Linked DNA regions of Lonchura striata. The protein of the gene in region 1 interacts with the protein of each later gene in a biochemical or structural test. Links are inferred from orthologs where the notes say so. Each region holds a gene or a part of one and is shown in the gene's direction. Other genes may lie near its edges. The genes, in order: CLTB, HIP1 and HIP1R.

Region 1 (8,025 bases):
CACTGCAGCATTTGCAAGACCCGAGTTCCACAAAGACATCAGAGACAGCCAACTTCACCCCTCCTGACCACCACCACAGTGACAGGCAGCTCTAGTCACTTCTCAGTCTTCTACATGAGCTCCCCAGGGAGGTGAATTTCCTTTTATTTCTTTTTCCTTAGCATCCTAATTCAGCTGCTCTCAACTCAAACCAGAAGTGACAAAGCCACTCCAAGCAGCACAGTGCCGAGCGCTCCCGCCACTTGTCTGATCAATGAGGCTTCACAATTAAACATTGTAGAAAAAACTGCCTGGCAAAGGCAGCTTTTAACACTCAACACCTTGCTGGCTGTTAGTCTGTGTGCTCCACTGGATACACCACAGCTCCACCACGTTCTGGAGATACACCAGGCTTCAGAATGACCCATGCCTGATGTAAGGAATGGCAGGACCACAGTTCAACCGCCACTCCAGACAACTCTTGCTGGCAAACACTGATATTGGTCATTATCACCCTCATGACATTCCTATGGCCCCTGCTTCACCAAGTCATGGAAACAGATCAGAAACTTGAAACTCCACATTATTTCCACTGCCTCAGCATCTCTTATACCCATGGCACACCAGCACATTCTTTGTATCATCAGGGCTAAGAGAAGAACCAGCATCTTCAACCGTTGATGCTCTGATCCCTTATCAGCTGCCTTTAAGAGCATGGATCTTACACAAATAAGTAGTTAAAATTAGTCCCATTACACCAGCACTCTCAAACCTTCAAATAAATCCAAGCTCAACATAGTGGCCAGTATTTCAAAAAACAAAACATTAAATTCCACAAATGCCAGAAAAGTTCAATAGTGGCTTCTCAACCACCAAAGCAAGAGTGTTATTGTAAAGCATAAGGAAGCTTTTGCTGGAGGTAATTATTAGTATTTCTCACCTTTGAGACTGCTCAGAATCTTCTCAAAACTGAAGTAGTGGAAAGTACAATTTCATGCTTCAAAAGCAGAAGGAATACCCCTGAGTGGACAAAGGTTGTAAAGTGGACTTACGAAACCGTTGCCTCTACAGATATGCTCCGATGTTGAAACACAGCACAGGAGATGCAAATCCACAGGACTAACTGGCACTGCTCTTACTTCCCAACCCACTGCCAAATTCCAGAGAATTACTTTCCAAGGGTAAAGAACATCTGAGTTCTAACTGGAAAAATGCCTTAACCAAGAGTTTCTTATTGCATATTACAGCAAATGCCTTTCTGAGGGTTTTGATGGATATGCTGAGTGGGAAAGCTGCCTGGAATTTCATGTTTCCTCCTTCCCCTAAATCAGAGTCACATCCAGCCTTGAGCATTCTGTTTTCCCTAGCTGAAGTCAGAGACTATATGAGTGCCAACTCTCTTGCAAATAACACTCCATTACATTACATTAGCATATTACAATATCAGACATCAGCCCAAGTGTAATGGGCACAGATCAATATCCAGATCCTACAAAAGCTGCTCTGCTGATTCTTCCATCTCCCAAATGAATCACATCTCCACAGCTTTCCTAAACTGTTCACAGCAAACTTCTCTCTCCAAATGTCAGGACAGTGAGGTCTTGACAGATGAAAAATTTAGATGCTTTTATTCTCTTACATTATTAGCCAGTTCTCTGGCAGTAAATGAGAGGCTGAAAGCACACAAGAGGCTTTGTTGCTTTCAAGTTTATCCCAGTTCTCTCTACTGACTTTTTTCCTTTACTAACCTGCCCCAGCATGGTGCAGAGAGCTGCCCCGTTCCAGCCCTGCCCACAAGAAGGAAGCTGCTGGTTTCAGCATTCTGCCAGCAAAGCTGTTTGTATGAGCACTACAGAACCCACCACACAAACATCAGTGGGATTAATGCAGAGAGGGCACTAACACAGACCTGTGCCAGGACAGGACAGCACACTCACCTCTGCCTGGAAAGGTGCACTCTCCAGCAGAAGTGAAGCAGTTTATGGCAACAGCATCTTCACCCCAACCACCTTTTCTCTAGGTGAATAGCAGTCCTTGCTCAGTGCTTCCCTCCCTTTGGCTCTCTATTTCACTGAGGGCCTTCTACAATTCCTTACCTCATCCTGGTCATCCTGCCTTCTTTCCTGGTCTGCTCTGCTGCTCTGTTCACAGTGCAGTGGGATACAACCTTCTGTGGAAGTGCAATGCTCTGTCACCATGGAATGCTGTGCAGCCTACTTATGATGGCACATCACAAAGTGTGAAATTATCCTTGAAAACAATGAAGTGTTCCCTGCAAGCTCAGCAGGGATCCCTGAAGGCTTTCCAAGCTGACTTGTAGCAATGTTCAAATTATTTTAATGACACTTACCTAATCTCTTCAAACACCTCATTTTTCCTATTGGAGTCTGAGAAAAAAATCTCTTCCAAGTGGATTGATTTACTTTTGAGGAAGCAGCAGGGCTCACACCCGAGCCCTTCTCAGGTAGATGTGACATATCAGAGGAGAAGGAATCACCAGTGGGGTCTGTCATTAGCCCTGGAGAAAGCTGATCCAACACACCACAGAAGACAGAAGAGGGAGGATCCTGGCTGGTATCCAAGCCTTCTGGACCACAGCTTTCACATCTGGCTCTGCACAGCAGTGGTCTAACTGAAAAAATTTCTCCCCTTTACAGCCTGAGGAGTGTTTCCCAGTGCCTCAAACCAGAGCTTGACAGGAAGCTGGACTAAAGCATGAATCTCTCCTTCGGGTTCCCCAGCAGCCCTCTGTCCATGCCAACACCAGTGGCATGAGGAAACAGGATTATTTCACTTCACAGCTACCCACATGGGTTTGAAAACAGCAGCAGAGGCAGCAGTGAGAGCAGCTGGTCCTACCTGTCCAGAGCATGCAGACGAGCAAGAACCAAGATATCTCCCAGCAAGAGAATGGGACATTTATATGTGCAAAACCCTCACCTACTCACCAGGCAGCACAGGGACAGCAATGGCTAGCACTGCTCTGTGCCTTTAGTCTGTATTTAATTTGTCTGCCCAAACAGCTCCATCTGCAGTAGACTTAAGAGGGACACTTGTAAAGCAAGTTTCCTCATGGGTCCAGTCATGGGAAGACACCTCAGCATGGTGATTAAGTCAGGGGGCTGTGAATCAGGGGAAGGCTTGGGAAGACAATGTGTGGAATGATGAACACCTGCACTGTCTCACCTGGGGAAGGCAGGGCCAGATGCCTCTGGAGTCCCTTTAAATCTACATTTACATCACACCAAACTGCCAATGCACACTCTTCAAAACAGTAACATAAAGCAACAAAAGCAGACAAAGTACTCTTAAAAGTAATCATGGCATTTGTAAAAGAACTGCAATCCAAGGGATGCCACATGATGTCCTACAGCTCAGAAACAAACCCAAGGCACCTGAAGGTAATTTTCATTGCTCAGCACATTTAGTTACTCATCACTGAGCAACCCTAAGAATTTCAGCTGCCCAGCACTGTTTTCTCCTCAATAAACCACATCTTCAGACTGTGTTTATGATCATTCATCTGCCACACAGCCCCAGGCCTCGCAAACCAAAGGTTAAGCGACCTTGCCTGTGTTATGTAGCAGAGACAGATTAGATCACTACAGTCTCCAGCGGCGTTACCCAATCGTGAGGGGCAGGGACTATGTTCCACAGAAACCCACTGGATAACTCTCCCGCGGTGCCAAGAAAGGCTCTCCAGCTACGACAAGGAAAATTTTCAGGCTAATTAAAATGGCCGGGATTTACCAAGGAGTTTCTCCTGCGAGGACTTTACTGAGCAGCCTCCCCAGTTAGCGATGACAGAACATCGCCCCGACAAAGCGTTAGAGGCACGGAAATCTCACTGCCCCCGGCCAGGACTGGGACCACAGCTGTCTCTCCTCTCACTGCCCCCTCGTGCCTAGCTCGACACCCCGCTCCAGGACGGGCCTATCCAGCTCTGTGAGCCCCGTACCCCCCAGCGCCGGCGGAGCGGGCCCAGCTCAGCCCATTCCGTGTCCATGCACCGCCTCCCCCGCTCCCGCCGGCCGGCACGGGCCCCCCAGGCCGTGGCACCTGGAACTGCAGCAGCTTCTCGGTCTGTTCCGCCGTCAGCTCCCGTTCCTCAGGCGCCGCCATTTTGCTGCCGCCTCTGACCCGCCGCTCCGTCACTCTCCGGAAGTGACGTCGCCCGCGCCCACTTCCAGCCCAGCGCCGCGGCCAATCGCTGTTTATCGGCCGCCGCCGGAACTGCTCGGCCGCATTCCGGACTGACCCGAAGCGCTCTAGGGCCTGTCCGGAGATGCCCGAATCCCATCGGCAGCGGTGGCCGCTCTCGGGTGTTCCCGGCGGCCACACGTAAAGTTCCGAAGTGTGCCGAGCACCGCTCGGGTGTTCCCGGCGGGCACACGTAAAGATCCGAAGTGTGCCGAGCTCAGCTCGGGTGTTCCCGGCGGGCACACGAGGGGTTCCGATGCGTGCCAAGGGCTGCTCGGGTGTTCCCGGAACAGGCCGGGGATGAGCGGGCCCTGAGTCCAAGGACGGGGGGGATATGAGCCGAAGACCCCCGATAAACACTGGTTGTGTTCCCGTCACCGCGGGGGCTGCCGGTCACCGAGTGGGTCCTGCCCGGGCACCTGCGGTCCCGTCGGGTGTGTCCTGCCCGCTACCTCCGGTCCCGCCGGGAGGGTCCTGCCCGGCACCCCTCGTTCCGCTGGGCCGCCCGTGCGCCCGGCCCAAGATGGCGGCGGCCGCTAAGATGGAGGAGGCGGTGAGGGGTCCCCGCTCCCACCCGCAGCTACGAGCGCCCGCCTGAGGGGTCGGCGCGGCCAGACCGCGGCCAGTCGAGCCCCGGGGGAGGCAGGCGGGCAGCCCCGGCTCCCGGTGCCCGCTGCGGCTGGCGGGAGGCGGGACGCGCCCGCGGGCCCGCCCCGGCGTGATGTCAGCGCGGCCGCCCCGCCCGCCGCCGCAGTGACAGCGGCAGCTCCGCCCGGGCGCAGTCGGGCCCAGCCCAGCCGAGCCGCGCAGCCGGACCGGGAGCGGCGCGGGCGGGCCGGTCATGGCCGACGACTTCGGCTTCTTTTCCTCATCTGAGGGCGCTGGCGCCGAGGAGGACCCGGCCGCCGCCTTTCTGGCCCAGCAGGAGAGCGAGATCGCGGGCATCGAGAACGATGAGGGCTTCGGGCCGACCGACGGCGAGGCGGCCGCCGCCCCGGGCGGGCAGGCGGCCCCGCCGGAACAGGGTGAGCGCGCCCGCGGGCCGCCCGGCTGCGCTCCCGCTGGCTGCGGGCGGGCTCTGACCCTGCGGGGTAACGCGGGGCTGTGCCCCTTCTGCCCCGAGGGCGGGGAAGGGTCCTCCGGGCCGCATCCACGCGGGGCTGGGGTCCCCGGGGGATGCACAGCATCCCTGGTGGGTGATGGGGTCTGTGCTGCCCCTCGTGGGCCGGTGGCGGGGTGATCTTGTGGGCCAGGTTGGCATCCTAGCAAGGGTCGTCTGGGCCTGTGCTTGTGCCCGAAGAGCTTCTCGAACCTCGGGGATGTGGGAATCCTGAGCTGGGATGTGCCAGCCGTGGGGCGGTTTCTCCCCCTTGTACTGGGTTTCCCTGGTTGGATGGGCTCCCGACTCCATGTTTCAGTGCTCCTAGCTATGGCAGTGTAAAAGGCATCCAGGCGGCACTGAGGAGCAATGACAGCCTTGTCACTGTCCCCACAGACAGGAGAGCCCTTTGGGATGCAAAATGGAAGACATTGCCATTGGGAACGTTGTGGTCCCAGGCCCTGCAGGTAGAATGTGCTAATTCTGCTCTCGTCTTCAGTCTGCAGGGGCTTTGGCATCTGCTCTCTGTATGGGGGCACTGTTGCCACAGGGCTCTGACTCCTTTCCTAATGCAGCCCCTCAGTGTCTCCTCATGCTGTCTGTGGAGCAGTGGTTTCATAGCTCTACACACAGGGTCATGGAGGCAAATCTGGGCTTGGAGAGATGTTGACAGCCACAGTGATAAATGCAGTTAGACAGGCTGGAGCTGGGTGTAGTCATGGGGCTGAGCACTTTGGGGACAGTGCTGGCCTGAGCTGCAGTGTGTCTGTGCCTGCAGCTGGCTGGCCAGGAGAAGCCCTGTGGTCACTGGGGAAAGCCCAGGACCTGGAGTGTGACTCCTTCAAAGCCTCTTCTCTCCTGGCAGCAGAAAGCCCCCTGCCTGGGCTGGCTCTGTGACCTGGGTGTGCAGCTTTCTGGGGTTGTGTGGGCAGATGGGTGCCTCATTACCAACTCTGACCTTGCAGCTCATCCCAGGTGTGCTCCCAAGGCCCTCAGCCTGTAGGTATACCCTTCTGTCCTGGTGGAGCACAAGGAGTGTTTCCATGGGCTGTGTACCTGGAGAGTTGCCTTGGCACTTGGCCAGCAGCTTTTGGCTCAGCTGTGTCCTGCAGCCTCTGCAGGTTGAGGTTGGTCAGGTTTTGTTTCTACAGTCAGAGCAGCAGCCTGTGTCAGTCTTGTGCCGGAGCAGTTTCCCTAATCTTCAGATAAGATTAAACACCAGTGAAAACACCATAAAGATGTAAATGCCTGCAGAGGTTTGTGTGGGAGAGTGAGAGGTGCTTGCTGAATCCCAGCAAGGACAGGACACGGGGAGGGTATTGTGCCAAGGGTGTGCTGAGCTGAAAAAGGCACAAACTCCCAGGAGCTAATCTGATGCAGTTTCATGAACACCAGCCTATCTGGGATTACCTGCATCTGCCATAGTTGTGTTTTTTCCTTCTCTCTTCCATTTTCTTGAGCAGGTTTCCAGAATGGAGGAGCCACTGTCAATGGAGATGTCTTTCAGGTGAGAGCTCAGCCTTTTGCTGGCCCAGGGCTGCTAAGGAAGATTGGGTGGGTATGGGGCCAGCAATCTTCTGCTCTGCCCCCAGCATTGACTGGAGTTTGCTATCCAGCTGCAGAACAGCTACGGTGCTCCTGGAAAAGTCTGGGTCTCCTGTGGGAGTCCTGGCTGCTCCATTCTCTTTGAAGAGAAGATGTGTCCCACCTGCCATGACCTGCCCCACATCTGTTTGCAGGTGGCTTGTGCCATGAAGGAATGCCTGGGCCCTAAGAGCAGGTGACAAATCATCCATTCCCCAAGAAGTCCCCTCTATCCAGTCTGGCTAGCTTCTGGAGGCCTCTGGGGCAGGCAGGAGCATCTCTTGACAGAGGCCAGAGACAGGATAGGGCTGCCATGGGGCTTGGATTGCCCATGAAAACCACTTGCCCCCATGGCCAGGGGCTTTTTGGGGGACCCACCTGGGTCTCAGATCCCTTTGAGAGCCTGAAGCCTAGCTCTGCTGTCAGCAGTGCCAGCATCTCACAAGCTCTTTACCCCACTTGCCCAGCAGTGGGGCATATGCACTGCCCATGCCTGTTTTACAGGATGATAATCGCATCAGGAATGGGACAGACTTAATTAGATTGAGGATCTTGGAAGAAAGCTGTAATCCCATTGCTGAGCTTGGTGTCAGACTGGGCATCTGGCCAGTGGAAGGTGTTAGGGGAGGTGCTGGGCCTGGCGGGGCCTTCAGCTCAGACGTGAGGGAAGCAGCTCGGTCCCGGAGCTGCCTGGGCCCCAGTGAGGGCCAGGGAGTCCCTGGGGAGCAGTTCCAAGGCCAGTGTCTGCCCTGTGCAGTGGGGCTGCCTGGAGGATACAACAGCTGCGGTGGCAGTGAGCAGCAGGTCGAGGAGGGAAACGCTGGCAAGGCTTTAGGTGACAGGGCCTGAGGCTGGGAGAGTAGCTTGAGCAGCACTTAGGGAACACTGTCCCACATGTGTCAAGCTGTCACCCTTCCTACCTCCTATCCTGGCTTGTCAGTGCTGGGAGTGTGGAGGCCTGAGTGCTGCCAGCCCTGGGAGGTGGCTGGGCTGGGCTCTTGGAAGCACTGGTGCTGATGGTGAGGTGCTCGTGTGCCACAGGAGTCCAACGGCCCCACGGATGCCTACGCAGCCATAGCCAAGGCCGACCGGCTGACCCAGGAACCCGAGAGCATCCGCAAGTGGAGGGAGGAGCAGAAGAAGCGCCTGGAGGAGCTGGGTGA
Region 2 (7,558 bases), on another chromosome or scaffold:
TGGACTACTACTCTGCCCTCTCCAGATGGATACTTCGGCTCAGAAGTTGTTTTTGTCCCAGAGTCTGAGCAAATTACCCCATCACCAGGGCAGGGCTGCATCTGGGCCTGCCTTGGAATGTGTAAAGGGACTGAAGGGGATCCATTTGGGATCCATTTTTCCCACCTCCAAGGTGGAAAGAGAAGGGATCTTAGCACAGAGCCCTGTGCCAGCCCACTCCAGCACAGCCAGCAGGATAACAGAGGAAGGACTGTGGAGCTCTGTGATTCTGTTTTCCTGTTGAAACAAGGGGGATCTGTCCTCTCCCTGAGCCCAGGCCAGGCCACAAGAGGGTGATGACTGTTGCAGCAGCACCCTGGGACTCTCCAGCTCTGGCTGGGGAGGGAATTATAAAAACAGACTCTAGCTCCCAGCCCCCATGAAAAGTGCATCCCTGAGCCCCAGACAGGGCCCATAGCCCCTGCAGTCCCTTCTGGTCCCACTCCTGTTACTTGGCCTTCCCATTTGGGTTAAGGGTGTCCTGACAGAATGGGAGCAGACCTCCTTTAGGATCCTGTGGACAGGAACCTCTGGGCATGGAGAATAAAGAGGGAACTGCCCTACGGAGCCCTGCAACAGGGGAAGGATGAGCTCCAGTCCCACCTGCCTGGCCTGAGCAGTACTTGATTGGTGCCACATACTGCTGAGCAGGAAAAAAGAGAGGGCACACATGGTCCTCTCCATGTCCAGACAATGTCTGTCCCCACACAGGCCAGACACCCCCACGAGGGGCTCTGCTATCACCCTTCAGTCCAGCCTCTTGGACAGGAGTGAGGAGAGAGCACTCTGAGAACAGGTGAACCCCAGCCATGGCTTCCAAAAAGGACCTGCTGGGGAGGAAGAGCAATGCCCAACCTGCTCTACCTCCACCCTGCTCAGTTTCAGCCCTTCCCCATCATCTCCCCATGGAACCTGAGGCAGAGGAACAGATGCTGCACAGGAACAGCTCTGTGCCTTCCCCTCTCAACTACCTGAAAACAAGGCACTCTCTCCCACTGGGAAGGAGCCTCTCAAATCCCTGCAAATCCCCACAGCACATTCCAGCAGAAAGGCTGCGTGGAATAGGCCAGCCCAGGGTGGTCTGACCAGCAGCTCATGGGCTGGATCCCAGTTCTATCCTGTTACAGCCCCTTCCTGGGAGAGGCAGAAGCAGCCAGTAGAAACAGCCTGCTCTGTCCCGCATCCAAGCACCTTGCTCTGTTCCTGCCCAGGTCCCAGCATGAGCACTGGGCCCTGGCTAGGGACAAAGAGGATGTGGCTCTGCTCTTCAGTAGGAGGAAGCAGCTATACCAAGCCTCAGCCTAGTGGTCTCTTGCCATGGGCTCCAGGAGCAGGATGTTCCCAGTGAGGTGGAGGGTGGGAGAGGTCCAGATCACAAGGCACCACTATCCTTTGTCCAGTCCCTTCCTTTGCTCTTCCTTTCCTCCATCTCTATTCAGCAATGATGTAATTTCTTCAATTATTAATCATCTCGCTGCAACAGTGGATGAATCAAACCCATTAAACTTCCCCTGGGAGCAGCCCCAAGGAAGGAGGCAGGTTTCCAGAAAGTACATTAAGGACAATGCAGACAGGCACTTGAGACAAGTGGGAGGAATGGTCTCGCTGCTCCACGCAGGCCATTTCCCATCAGCTGGGATTTGCTGTCCAATGCACAGGGACTGGTAAGGCCTGTGATGCAAACAGGCTGTCACACACCCTGCTGGGCAGCTCCAGGAGGGTCCTGGTGTGGCAATTATTTCAGCTGAAAAAGTCAGAAAAGAGAGATATGCTGGGAGGATTGCTTACACAAGAGCTCCTGACAGCCTACATGCTAAACAGCTGTTTCCAGATTGCCCCATCACCCCAGCAGTGTTTTGCACAGTTTCTCCCCACCTGGAGCAAAGTCACTGATTTGTTATGATCTGCTTTTAAGGATTCAGGAACCCAGCTGGCACAGTCCCAGCATGGCCCATTTGCCATATCTGGGAATTCAGTTTTCAGTCTCTTCACAAAACAAAACAAAACAAAACAAAAAAAAAAAAAAAAAAAAAAAAAAAAAAAGGAATTCCTCCCAGTATTGTAGAAATGTTCCAAGTGAGAAATTCACCTCTGGAATAGGATGATAGTCCTGGTCAAAATTACAGGAGCCAGTAATTCGCCAGGTTGAGAGAATCCCAGAATGGTTTGAGTTGGAAGAAACTTTAAAGTTCATCCTGTCACTTAAACAGCAGGAAAAACAAAACCTTTTGAACAATTTTTAATGTTAGAGAACTCAAGCGTTATTTTATTCTGGCCAGGATGATGTTCTGGCCAGGATGTGCAACAGAAGTAATTTCATCCACACATTGGGTTGTGCAAAGAAAATAATTCCATCACATGTCTCTTTTCTAGATTTTTACATACTTATACAGTTAAAACTCAGAGAGATTCATTGGTTCAATGTTTATTGGTCTGAAGTTACACAGTTCTTAGAATTTGGTTTCCTATTGGTTATTGATCTCTTCACCTTCGATACTCATCGGGCCCTCATTCTTCTTTTATGATCTTTTCCTGGACTAAGTGTCTCCGACACAACAGGAAGGATGTTCAGATGTTGATGTTCATTAATGGTCGCTTATCTCTTGTGCATCCTTTGGCACTCCCAGTCCCTTGAGATGTTAAACTCATCAGGCCTTGCCTAGGGAACAGTCTCTTGAAAAGAAACTTCCATTCCCTTCCTGGGCAAAGATGAACGAAACCACTGACTAAAGTTAGTTTAAAAATTTAGAAGTTGTATAATTTCCAACAATCCTGTTCCACCTCCTGCACACCTTTGACTAGACCAAGCTGCTCCAAGCCCTATGCAGTGTGGCCTGGGTAACTTCCAGCAATGGGGCAGCCACAGCTTCTCTGGGCAACCTGTGCCAGGGCTTCAACCACCCTTACAGTCAATAATTCCTTCCTGATATCCAATCTAATGCTACAAAAATCTCTGATTAGAGTGACAGGACCAGATCAAGTTATAATAAAACACAGTCCAGGGGAAACAAAATCCTTCTCTCACCTTTCCTCTCTTCTTTTTCAGACCCCATTGTGAAAAATGCATATTTGTGATTGGCTTTTCGCAAATGTTACAATGAATATTATATGTGTAATGTTAGAAAGTTATGCTGTATTAATTCTCTTACGTATTGTGTTAAGTGTAGTTTTAGGTTACAACATAATGTTAAAATAGAGACTATGTATGTGGGGGGACTTTTCTTTTTAGGAATGAGATACTGGCTTCGAGGAACACCTAAATCTTCCAAAGGAGAGGAATTTATGGCTTCTTATGAGAAGAAGCTAATTTCTTCAGGCCTTTCTCAGACTCGAAGACGCCAGGGGATTAAAGGAAACAGTTGACATACAACAGAGTTTCTTGTTTAAAATAGAACGTATGCATAACCATAAAGGATGTATGAATATGCAACAAGTGTATTAGTTTAAGGGTGATTCCTTTGTTCACAAGTCATGCTTTTCGTGACTTAGTGTATGAGAGCATCCGGACATCCATAATTCTTTGCTTTTTATTGTCTTGTAATTGTCCTAACTCTAAACTTTATTACCCTAATTGTATTATTATTTTTATAACAATTTTATTATTATTAAACGTATAAAATTTTAAAAACCAAATGATTGGCGTTTTTCAGACCCCTGTAACCACATTTTGCCCCTCTGCCAATGCTACACACTTCCTGTTGGGCTCTGCCAGCTGTGCCTGCAGCAATGCCCTGCAGAGCTCCCACCCCCAGCCTGGATCCCACACGGGAAAAGCCTCACACGACCCTTCCGCAGGCTGCGGGGCTCTGCTGGCGCTGACAGCCGGCGGAGCCGCCTCCCCACCCCCGGCCCAGGCCGTGGGGAGCCACGAACACCCGTGAGGGGCGGCCCGGCCCAAGGCGGACAGCGGGGACGGGGCGGCGGTGCCGGGTCACCCCGTGGCCACGCGCCGGGCTCGGCCGAGGGGCCGCAGCCTCACGGAGCCATACGGGGCTCGGCGGCCGGCGGCCCCGGAGGGCTCAGCCGCGGCTCGGAGCCGGTGCACGGCGGCCCCGGAGGGCTCAGCCGCGGCTCGGAGCCGGTGCACGGCGGCCGCCCCCGGGCCCGGCGGAGCCCACGGCGGCCCCTGGGCTCGGCCCGGCGCGTCCCGATCAGTCCGCCGACGCCAGGGGGCGCCGCGCCCCATACAGGGGAGGGGCGGGGCGGGACACCGGTGTCTGAGCGGCAGGGCCGCGGACCAATCACAGTAGGGAACTGCGCAAAGGCGTGGCCGCGGCGCTCGGGTGGGCGGTGCTAAGGGCGCGGCCCCTGAAGGCGGAGCAAAGAGCAGGGGGACTGGGGAGGCGGGAGCTTGCGTTGATTGACGTCCATATGAACCAATGAGAGTGAGAATCCGGGCCGGTGGGGGGGGGCTCGGCTGGGAGGGTGGTGCCCGCGGGCCGTGAGGGGCAGGCGGGCGGGCCAATGGCGCAGGGCCCGCGGTGGCGGCGCGGCGCGGGCCGGGCGGCGGGCCGGGTCGGGCGGCCATGGAGCGGGTGAGCAGCACCATGAAGCAGGTGGCCAACCCGCTGCCCAAGGTGCTAAGCCGGCGGGCAGGCGGCGGCAGCCTGGAGGCCGAGCGGGAGAGCTTCGAGCGCGCCCAGGTGCGGGCAGGGCGGGGCGGGGCGGGGATGCGAGCGGTGAGGAGGGGAAGGCGGTGGCTGACGGGCGGGGCGAGCCGGGGCGCGGCGCGGTGCGGTGGGCACGGCTCGCCCGTACCTGTGCCAGGCGGGCGGGGTTACCCGAGGTGGGCGAGGTTGTTTGGGTGGGCGCGGCCAGCCGGGTGAGCCAGAGCCAGATGGAGCTGCCTGGCGGGTTGGTGCTGGCGCAAGGGCGCAGCTGGGTTGGCGGCAGGTCGGGGGGATTGGCGGAGGAGGGCCGCGGGTCGCCCTGGGGCGACGGGGTTGGGGACCCGCCGGACTTCGTGGCTAGGGCTGGAGCCGGCCCTGGAGGAACAGCCGGGATGCCCCAGCCCAGCAGTGTTTGTTCAGCCTGGCCTTCCCAGCAGCGGGGCTAGGGAACATTGACCCGCTGGCCTGAGCTGCCAAGTCTCCAAGCCCGGCCACAGCCAGGCATCATGCCCAGGACGGTGCCACCCTGTCCTTGGAACCTCCCTGAGCACACATAGCCTGTGTTCCCTGGCTGGAGGGAACACAGAAGTGGCTCTTTGGCCAGTGGAGTCAGTTCTGCTCCTGTGTCACACCGAGACCCCAGGTGTGGACAGGGTCTGTCCCTGCAGTTGGCTCCTGGGAAGAGGCACTGTCAGCAGCATCCAGAGTATGGGGGTGGATGGGGCCCTTTGCTCAGGTTTTAGGTGATGGATTGATGTCCTGCACAGAGGAAAGGTGGCAGCCAAACTGGAAGGGCAGTAGGGGTGCTTTGGTGGAAAAAGCTGGTGATTTGGGGAAAGGCTGTGCTTGGAGCAGCTGGGGATATGCCTGGATAAAGCATCAAAGCATGGGGGGAGTGAAGAGAGAGGGATGGCGGCAGAGGGAGCTGGGGACAGCTTGGCTCTGCTCCATGTCCAGGGATGGAAAGTACCAGTGAAGCAGAACTGTCCAGACCTACCGTGGGAGAGGAAGGGAAACTGAGGCAGGAGCAAGGGTAGAAATGGGACCAGTGGAAGCAGACTTGAATGAGCCCAGAGTGGGAGCAACACATGGGATATGGCTTAGAGATGGAAATAAACACCAAGGATCATGTCTGAGGGGGTTTTGCAGGAAGAAAACCCACCAGGCCATGAAGTTGGATGCAGGATCATGTGCAAGGCTCTGCTCACCTTCCCGCTCAGGTTACCTCAGACATCAATTATTTACTCATACTGCTAAAGGTAGGAATGGAACTGGTTTGCTCCTGGAACCTTCTGGCTCCGTGTTGTGTCAGCAACAGCCGGATGGGCCTGGAGCTCTCTCAGGCTCCCCCTGAGCTAGTGGTTTCCTGGGAAGGGCTGAGTGGAGAGGGTGGTGGAGCGGCACCACTCCCCACATTGCTACGAGCTGGATTTCATCTTCCTCATCTTATTTCCAGACTAATGACACAGCATGGCCTTGTCTAGCTTTTTCTTCTTCTGTGCTTCAGCTCCGTGCAATTCCCTTTCTAACTAATTTTTTCTCCCTCTTTTTTTTTTTTTTTTTTTTTTTTTTTTCCCCATAATTCTCTCCACTTTAGAGAACTTGCCAGGCACCCGTTAGGTCTTGGTTGTACAATTTTTGTCCAACTTCTTCTTTCTGAGGTTTTTTTTTTAGAGAAACTTTGTGGCTTTGGGTTTTTTCTTTTTGAAAGTGACTTCTTTTAAGAAAACTTTCATCTGTTAAATGGCTTTAAAATGAAAAATTTCCCTGTGTTTTTAGCATGTACAGACTCCTTCCCTCCCCCCAATCCTGGCTGTCTCAAGGCAGCAGCACATACATCGCAACGCTTATTTTGGGGTAAAAGTGCTAAAACAGGCAGAAAGTGTATCCAAATGGGCCTTTGGGGAGCCTGAGGAACACCTGCTTGGGTTGGCAGCACCCAGTTTCTGTGGTCTGAGCTCAGTTTGGAAGAACAAGAGCACCCTACAAAGCTGTGGTGGTGGTAGGACATCCTAGTAGTGGGGAGGTCTGGAGGTGGGATGTTCCTGTGGTGATAGGATGTTTCTGTGGTGGTGGTAAACTGGTGCTAGAATTGTTCCATGGTGGTGGGATATTCTGGTGGTGGAAAGCTTCCATGGTGGTTATTGCATTTGCATTGCACAACAATTCTGTCCTGACAGCCTCCATCTGTTGGCTTGCAGACAAACAGCAGTAAATTTCCTGGTGGCCTCTCTTCTGCTCCTACAGTTGTGCAAGTATATTGATTTTCCTGGGAATGCAAATGTGGGAAACCTGAGGACATGCCCAGACATGGTGTTCCTTTCATGCTGTTCTTGCTGCCTGCTGGGCAAGAGCAGCTCAGGAAGAACAAGACACAGCCAAGGACTGCTCTATTCCTTTTCTGTCGATGCTGATAATTTTCATAGGAAGTTGAGCAACAGGGACACCAAATCCTGCAGTTCTGCTGCCATCAGGGAGTATGAGTGTTGCAATGACTGTTCCCCCTTTGCTGATGTTTCATGTGGTGATTCACCATTCACCACCTCAACCTTGGCACAAATCTTTGGGCACAGCAAGGATCACTAACGGAGGAGAAAAAAACATTGAAAGTGAAAATCCTGCCACATTTTAAGATAAATGTTTCACATGGTGTCTGAAGTTTGCATCCCCTCCAAGTTCTCCTGGTTGGATTAAGGGGTATGCGCTGGTGCTGGAGCTCTGCAGGGAAGGTCTTCTTTGTTTAGAGTAGTGCTTGGGATCTTCCCTCCTTGGGACCTTCCCTCCTTCTTCCTCTTTCCATGCTGTAATTGTCCACAGCAGACATCCTTGTGCCATGATGGAGCCAAGGACTGAAATTCCTTCTGTGCTTGGCTAGTTGGCAAAGACTGGGTGTTCAACAATTGGATGAG
Region 3 (7,173 bases), on another chromosome or scaffold:
GATGCTTGCAGTAGGCACCACCTTGTCTGGTTCTGAGGACAAAAGAGTAACCAGATATGGTTAAAATCCTGAACAGCACACAAAACTGAATAAGAACCAGCAACAATGAGGAGAAAAACTGGCAAAAAAAGAGAAACCTCTCAGTGCTGACACAGCCCAGGCTCGTGCCTGCAAAGGGAGGTTACCCCAGAGCCAGCTGGGCTGTGACACTGTGTGACTCCAGTTGTGGATCAGCCTCCAGCCCATGGGGAGCTGCTGCTCAGTTCTCTCTTGGGTATTCCAGCTGCAGTCCCTGAGCTGTTTGTGCCCTGGGGAGTCAGGCTGGCTGGCTGCACTCATGTTCTGCTGGTTCTGCATTAAGCCTGGAGTCACTGAGACTCCTCTGTGAGCCCGTGGGGACTGTGGAGTGCAGCTGATGGGGCACCTGGGGGAGATGGATGCTGAGCAGCTCGAGTGCCAAACTTTCCTCTGCTGTAACGTTCCTGTGCACAGAGAACTCTTCCTTTCCTGAAAAGAGCCCTGAGGTAAAAGCAGACAGAGGTTTTATAGGTTGGAGCCAGCACTGTGACTTGCATCCTGAAACCACTGATGTTACAAAGCTTCAGGAGCAAATCCCCAAAAGTGCTGAGCCCCGTGCTGAGGCAGCAGAGTGGGGAGAGCACGCTGAGCCTACAGAAATAATCACATTTGCCTCAAGTGAGAAAGAGCTGGTGGAACAAACATGCCACAATCCACTGCAGATCCATGACAAGAATGAGTGGTTCTCCAAGTCACTGGCTAATACATAATTTTCATTTTCTTTCTGTGTTAAAAAGCAACGAATCACTGTGATCAGTTAGATCTGAAGCAGAGCAGGCTCAGAAATAACCAAACATTTGTGCAGTTTCATATACAGAAGTGATTGAATTGATTTTGGTTGTGTTTGTTTGGTTTTAAATTGCTTTGAAACTCATTTGAGGGCAGGTGCACTGGCAAACATTAGGGCAATTTCCTCCCTAGCTGCCAGTAATTTAGCTATTCTCATCAGTCAGTTGTTTTGCCTCTAAGAGAGAGGTTGGAGGGGTGGGGGGAGTTGAAGAACTCAGGAGGAGAGAAGTTAGGAAAAGGCTATTTTCTTTTTTGGACACAGCAGCATGTGCCAGTGCTCATAAACGGTGACTCAGTGGCTGGCCTGGGGCACAAAGATCACTCCTTTCCTCAAAGCCAACTGGAAAGGTTTTATTTCCCAGCACCCCAGTGGTGGCCCTGAGACTGTTGCCTTTCTGTGAAGTACTTTGTTTACCTTTTCCTCTTTATAGTTTTACTCCATGTTCTTACTCTGTTTGCAGTGTGAAAATTTGTGTAATAAATTCACGTAAGTGTGATTGCTTCAGATATTTCAGAGGAAATGTTCCTGCTTTTTTCATTAAAATCTTTTCCTTTTTCTTCAGAGGAAAAAGTGTTTCCAACACAGAGGTAATACTGAGGACTGAAGATCATTGACCCAGCAGCTACAACAGAAAGTTACCTCATATTTTTCCTGTGGTTCCTCCTGAGTGTTTGAAAGACTCACAAGTGGCAAGAAGATGTGACTCTGCAAGAATGCATTTTATCTTGAAATAAAACACAGAATTACACCAAGATTAACAAAGCTATTTTTACAGCTGAGAGCTCAGGTTAAACACTAGCTTATTTTTTAAGAATCTGAAGTGTGTAATTGTTACAACATAGGAACTATTTTTCTTTTTTTTTTTTTATGGTGGCTCAGAAATATTTATAGACTATGACACAGCCAAGCAATCTCCTTTTTTTTTTTTAGCACATTGTTTTTGTTCTGGATTTCTTGCCTTGTAGAGAGAGATGAATAATGTTTATAGGAAGTTCCTAATTAGTGTTGTAAGCAGGAACTGCCTCCGATGTTGCTGAAATGGGAGAACTGTCACCCTCAAGGTGGGCAGAACATCTTTCCACACTCAGGAGCTGGTTTTCCAACAAAAGTCTATGGGATCAGGTGTGTATGGCCTCTGTTTGCACTGTAGAGGTAGCCAAGTATGATGTAACCTTTTTTTAGCATTTAAACTGGATTTATGTTTGCTGATTGGGCAAGATGTGCTGTTATCACAATTTGAACTTCTTTTTTAATGTAGAGATCAAATAATCTGATAAAGGTGATACTTTGCTGTGTCTCTCTTGCCCATTTAACACATTTAGCACTTGATTTCTGACATTTCTCAGCAGACATGAGTGGGCTGCCCAGTCCTGTGTAGATTTGGGAGCACTTTGGGACACCAGTGCCCCTCCCACAGCCCTGTGCCAGCATTTTTCCTGCTGGGGGGAGCCAAGGGTGGGAGTTTCTGCTCCATCCAGTGCCACCAATTATTGCTGAGAAACACAACATTCCGTGGAGTCTCCTTGTTAACTCTTTCATTTCATTTTCTGCTTTCTCTTTAATTACTCCAGTGACAGCCTTTCCTGCAGGTATTAATGGCCCTAGAATTAGGTGGCCAGTTCTGATGAGAGCTGCTGTTCTCCAGACTCTTTCCCTGCCTGCTCACCAGCATTACCCACAGAGGGAAGCTCAGCTGCTCCAGCTCTTTCCAAGTTTCCTCAAGCCTTTACAGTGCATTTATTCCTCTACCTGCATAGAACCTTCTCAGGCTCCATCCTCGCAATCTCCTGCTGTGGGTATGACAAGAATTCCCCCTAAAAAGCCAGTGATGACAATGCCATGATGCTCACCCTGAAGCTGTCCAGCAGCTACACAGAGAAATTGGTGCAACTTCCAAGCAGCAGCTGCATTTAAATGGTTTTGAGGTTATTGGATCAACTCACTGAGTTTAAACCCCTGGAGAGTTTAAAATGATGACTTTAAGATCAATATAGAAAACTGAGCTCAAGCGATGCATCAAGGATCTGCAGAGCCTTAGGATTTTGTGTCGGGGCTGCCCTGGATTTGTAGAATGGGAAGAAGGGGAATAACTGTTAATTTATTCAGCACTAAGTGACTTAAAGCCCAACTACATTATTGACCACACTCTGGTGCTCAAATGGAAACGCTTCAAACTCGGTGCCTTAATTCTGGAAGCAGCTCAAATACTCCAGGGAGCCCTTTGCTATTGTATCCTTGGTTTGAATTATTATTTAAAGACAACAAAGCTCCTGTTCAGCCACGGCCTTTCCGCAGGGTGGGTGCGAGCTCCGGTCATTGACTTTGGTAACGGGAATCGGTGCTGGAGCTCCGGTGCGAGTGCAGTGGGAGAGGGGTGAAATGGGCGCTGAGAAGGGACGGTCGCGCTGGCGGTGACCGCTGTTCCTGGTGCTTCCTGAGCTGGGCAAGCACCTCGGTGCCTGGTGCCTCGGGGGGCTGCTAAGGGACGTGTCCCTCGCTCCGTGTCCCCTCTCCGTGTTCGTGTCCCCTCCCCGTGTCCCCTCTCTGCCCGTGTCCCCTCTCCGTGTCCGTGTCCCCTCCCCGTGTCTCCTCTCTGTCCGTGTCCCCTCCCCGTGTCCCCTCTCCGTGTCCGTGTCCCTTCCCCGTGTCTGCTCTCCGTGTCCCCTCTCTGTCCGTGTCCCCTCTCCGTGTCCGTGTCCCTTCCCCGTGTCTGCTCTCCGTGTCCCCTCTCTGTCCGTGTCCCCTCTCCGTGTCCGTGTCCCTTCCCCGTGTCTGCTCTCCGTGTCCCCTCTCTGTCCGTGTCCCCTCTCCGTGTCCCCTCTCCGTGTCCCCTCCCCGTGTCCCCTCTCTGCCCGTGTCCCCTCTCTGTGTCCGTGTCCCCTCTCTGTCCGTGTCCCCTCTCCGTGTCCCTTCCCCGTGTCCGTGTCCCCTCCCCGTGTCCCCTCTCTGTCCGTGTCCCCTCCCCGTGTCCGTGTCCCCTCCCCGTGTCCGTGTCCCCTCCCCGTGTCCGTGTCCCCTCTCTGTCCGTGTCCCCTCCCCGTGTCCCCTCTCCGTGTCCTCTCTCTGTCCGTGTCTCCTCTCTCTGCCCGTGTCCCCTCTCTGCCCGTGTCCCCCCGGGGCTCTCGGTCCCACCTGCCCGCGGGGGGAGCGGCGCTGCAGTTCCGAGCGTGGCCGCTGGGGGCGCGGCGGCGCGCGGCGCAGTGCGCGGCCGGGAGGGGCGGGGGCGGGCGGCGCCGGTCGCTCCTGCCCGGAGCGCGGAGCCCCGAGCGCGGGCACCGGAGCCTGGATACCGGAGCCTGGCTACCGGAGCGGGGAGCTCCCAGCGCGGCCCACCATGAACAGCATCAAGAGCGTGCCGGCGCGGGTGCTGAGCCGCCGCGGCGGGCACAGCCTGGAGGCGGAGCGGGAACAGTTCGACAAGAGCCAGGCAAGGACAGCGGGAGGGGGCGGCGGGGCCGCGGGACCGGCCGCGGTTACGGTCCCGGTTTTAGTCCCGGTCCTGTTCCCGGCTCGGGGACGGGGCAGGCCGGCCCTTTCCGCGGGGCATCGCGTCGGGGCGCGCTGAGCGCGGGGGTTTCTCGGGCGATGGGATGAGACGGGATGGGGGGCGCAGGTCCCGGCCGCGCTCCGGGGAAGCCCCGGTGGGGCAGCGGGGCCGCCGCACCTCTGCCCGTCCCCGTGTCCGCCCGTCCGTCCCCGGTGCCGCCGCCGCGCGCTCCCCCTCCCCCACCTGCGCCGCCGCTTCCTCCCGGCGCGGCCGCGGGACGGTCCCGCGTGGGCACCCGCCCGTCCCGCCGCCCCGCGCCCGTCCCCGGGCCGCGGCCCCGCCGTGCGCCGCCGCTCCCGCGGGCAGCCGGGCCCCGCGCACCCCGCGCCTCCCGGGCCTTACCGCAGGTCAACACGGCCGGCAGCACACGGGGAAAGTTTTGCGGTGCTGGCGGCAGCGCGGCCGAGCCCGGGGACTCCGCGGCAGCCCCGCGCCCCGGGAATGGGCATCTCCGCATCCCTGCCTAGCCCCGGCCCCACCGGCACCGGGGGATGTTTCGCACCGGAGTTGGATCCACCCCTACCCCGCGGCTCCGGGTCACCCGCGGGTCACCCTGCGGGGATCGGGGTGTTTGGACCCACGGACGGTGGCAGAGTGGAAACAAAGCCCAAAGGCGTTCGTGCTCCATCGTGTCCGGCTTGGCGGGGGTGTCCGTGCTCCTGTAGACCCCACGGGGTGGGCAATGCTCGGGCACTGATGGGGCCGGCATATGGCTGGGGGGAAACGAACTACTCAGACAGCGTGGGCAGGGATGGGCAGAGGGATGGACAGAGTGACGGGCTCGCTGCTGCCCCAGCAAAAATAACAGTGCCCTGCCGCATGCCTCCTCTGACCCCTCTGCTTTTGCAGGCTGTGCATTCATCGCAGATGTTTTCCCCTCTGCCCCTTTGCTTTGCGGTTCCTTCCTCAGGCCCTGGGCTGGTTTGGCCCCGGAGAGCGCCAGTGAAGGCAGGTGGGAATTTCAGGCCTCGCAGGGTCACGGTGCTGGGTAGGAAACGGAGCTTTTGCCGTGTCTGGGGAGCAACACGAGAAAACCGGCAATTCCGGTTCCCTCTGGACGCGTCTCCTTCAGTCGGCCCGCTGGGCACCGCTGGTGAACGCTGCCCCGTGCCCAGCACGAACGGGGCCCCGCTCCCCCCGGCCTTCCAGGGCACTTGGGGCTTTTCACTGGGATTTGTGCTCTGGAGATCCGCGCAGTCACAGGGATGCTGTGAGCGGAGATGTGGACACGGAAAAGAGGTGGTTGCTCGCTGGCTGATGGTCACATTCCCTGCCCAGAACTGCTAAAAACTGTCCTAAAGGAGCTTTATCCTGGTGTGGTTTCCTGTAGTGGTGCTTCGGTGAGAGCAGAACTGTTCAGTGTCAGAACGTGGGTATTGATCTGCCTTTTACCTCTAATTATAGCAGCTGCCCAGTTGGCCGCCAGTCACCTCTGTGTCACGGGGGTGCTGGTGGCATGTCCCCTCCTTGTCTCTGTGTCACGGGGGTGCTGGTGGCACGTCCCCTCCTTGTCTCTGTGTCACGGGGGTGCTGGTGGCACGTCCCCTCCTTGTCTCTGTGTCACAGGGGTGCTGCTGGCACGTCACCTCCTTGTCTCTGTGTCACAGGGGTGCTGCTGGCACATCCCCTCTGTTGCCTGAGGATTCTGTACCAGAGTCCAGAGCCCCATCACCTTTTCCCCTGTGAGGGCTCAGGTGATGTCTGTGGTTACAGACAGGAGTTGCTGGCCCTGCTGTGATCCCAGGTCCTTGTGGGTGACGTGAAGGTCACCTGCTTTCCCTGAAAATGCTTTTCCATATTTTGTGTCAGGGTGATTTAATGTTCCCCTCGGAGAAGCCGTGCATGGGAAGTAGGAAATCATCCCACAGCAGGCGCTTGCTCGGCAGCCTTGCAGGAGGAAAAACTTGCCCGTTTTTGCTTTTCTTAAAGAAAAAGGTTAAAAATCCAATGAGCTCTGGAACCTGCAGGATTGCATTGTGTGTGACTGCCAAGTGGTGTTTTCCTGGTGTAATTTGGAAAGGAGCAGCATTAGGAAGGGAACTCTGGAGTTCATAGCTCAGCTGTTCTGACAGCTCTCGGACTGCCTGGCCAGGGAGGTTTCCAGCTGCCAAATAATCCCGTGCTGGAACCCGGCATCCACTGCCCGGAGGGGATTGGGCCCCGGTGGGATGCCGGGGCTCTGGGGAGCCGTGGGCGGGAGGATCAGCCCTAATTAAAAGCAGCCAGGAATGAAAGGGTGGATGTTAAACTGCGCTCCTTCATTTGGGCGCTTTGATCCCGGCTTTAGTCAGCGGCTTGGTACGTGCGGGCTGTGAGCAAAGCTGGGGCTGCAGCCCTGTGGGATCCCACAGCCCACGGCCCGGCAGGTTTTGGGCTTGGCTCCTCACCCAGTTGGCCTGCCAGTGGTGGGGAACAGTCCACAGGTTGCATCAAAGTTTTGGCCAGGCTGATTGTGCACCTGCAGTGACAGCCAGGACCTGCCCATCTCCGGACGTGCCAGCGGTGTCCCAAGAGGTTGGGTCAAGGGTGAATCTCCCCGTTTTGGAGCCATCCTCCACAGCCTGGCTTTGCCAGACAGCCAGCAGGAGCATCCTGTCAGCACACGTGTGCCAGGCTGCAGCATTGCCCCATGCTGGTGCCACCAATCCCATTTTCCTGGATCTCCTGGCAAGCTTGATGCTTGGAGGCAGGGAAAGCACACGTGGGCTGCCCAGAGGGACTGGCATTGGTTTGGTGCCACCATGGTTTTTTTGGGACC

Evidence for each region.
Region 2: the proteins of CLTB (region 1) and HIP1 form a complex in vitro, tested with the Homo sapiens proteins (2 studies listed by BioGRID, with this or other methods). The link is inferred for Lonchura striata from reciprocal best matches to the Homo sapiens genes CLTB and HIP1.
Region 3: the proteins of CLTB (region 1) and HIP1R form a complex in vitro, tested with the Homo sapiens proteins (2 studies listed by BioGRID). The link is inferred for Lonchura striata from reciprocal best matches to the Homo sapiens genes CLTB and HIP1R.

Annotation. Positions count from the first base shown.
Region 1 is NC_134617.1:3,464,459-3,472,483, forward strand, and holds the start of CLTB (clathrin light chain B), read left to right. Parts: upstream 1-4,931; 5' UTR 4,932-5,020; coding exon 5,021-5,204; intron 5,205-6,741; coding exon 6,742-6,785; intron 6,786-7,903; coding exon 7,904-8,021; intron 8,022-8,025. Other genes in the region: FAF2 (FAS-associated factor 2), read right to left, coding at 4,039-4,101. UniProt on the Homo sapiens protein: Clathrin is the major protein of the polyhedral coat of coated pits and vesicles.
Region 2 is NC_134622.1:1,003,618-1,011,175, reverse strand, and holds the start of HIP1 (huntingtin-interacting protein 1), read left to right. Parts: upstream 1-4,514; 5' UTR 4,515-4,565; coding exon 4,566-4,682; intron 4,683-4,910; exon of another isoform or gene 4,911-5,827; coding exon of another isoform or gene 5,828-5,869; intron 5,870-7,558. UniProt on the Homo sapiens protein: Plays a role in clathrin-mediated endocytosis and trafficking. Involved in regulating AMPA receptor trafficking in the central nervous system in an NMDA-dependent manner. Regulates presynaptic nerve terminal activity.
Region 3 is NC_134620.1:12,765,973-12,773,145, forward strand, and holds the start of HIP1R (huntingtin-interacting protein 1-related protein), read left to right. Parts: upstream 1-4,080; 5' UTR 4,081-4,202; coding exon 4,203-4,295; intron 4,296-7,173. UniProt on the Homo sapiens protein: Component of clathrin-coated pits and vesicles, that may link the endocytic machinery to the actin cytoskeleton. Binds 3-phosphoinositides (via ENTH domain).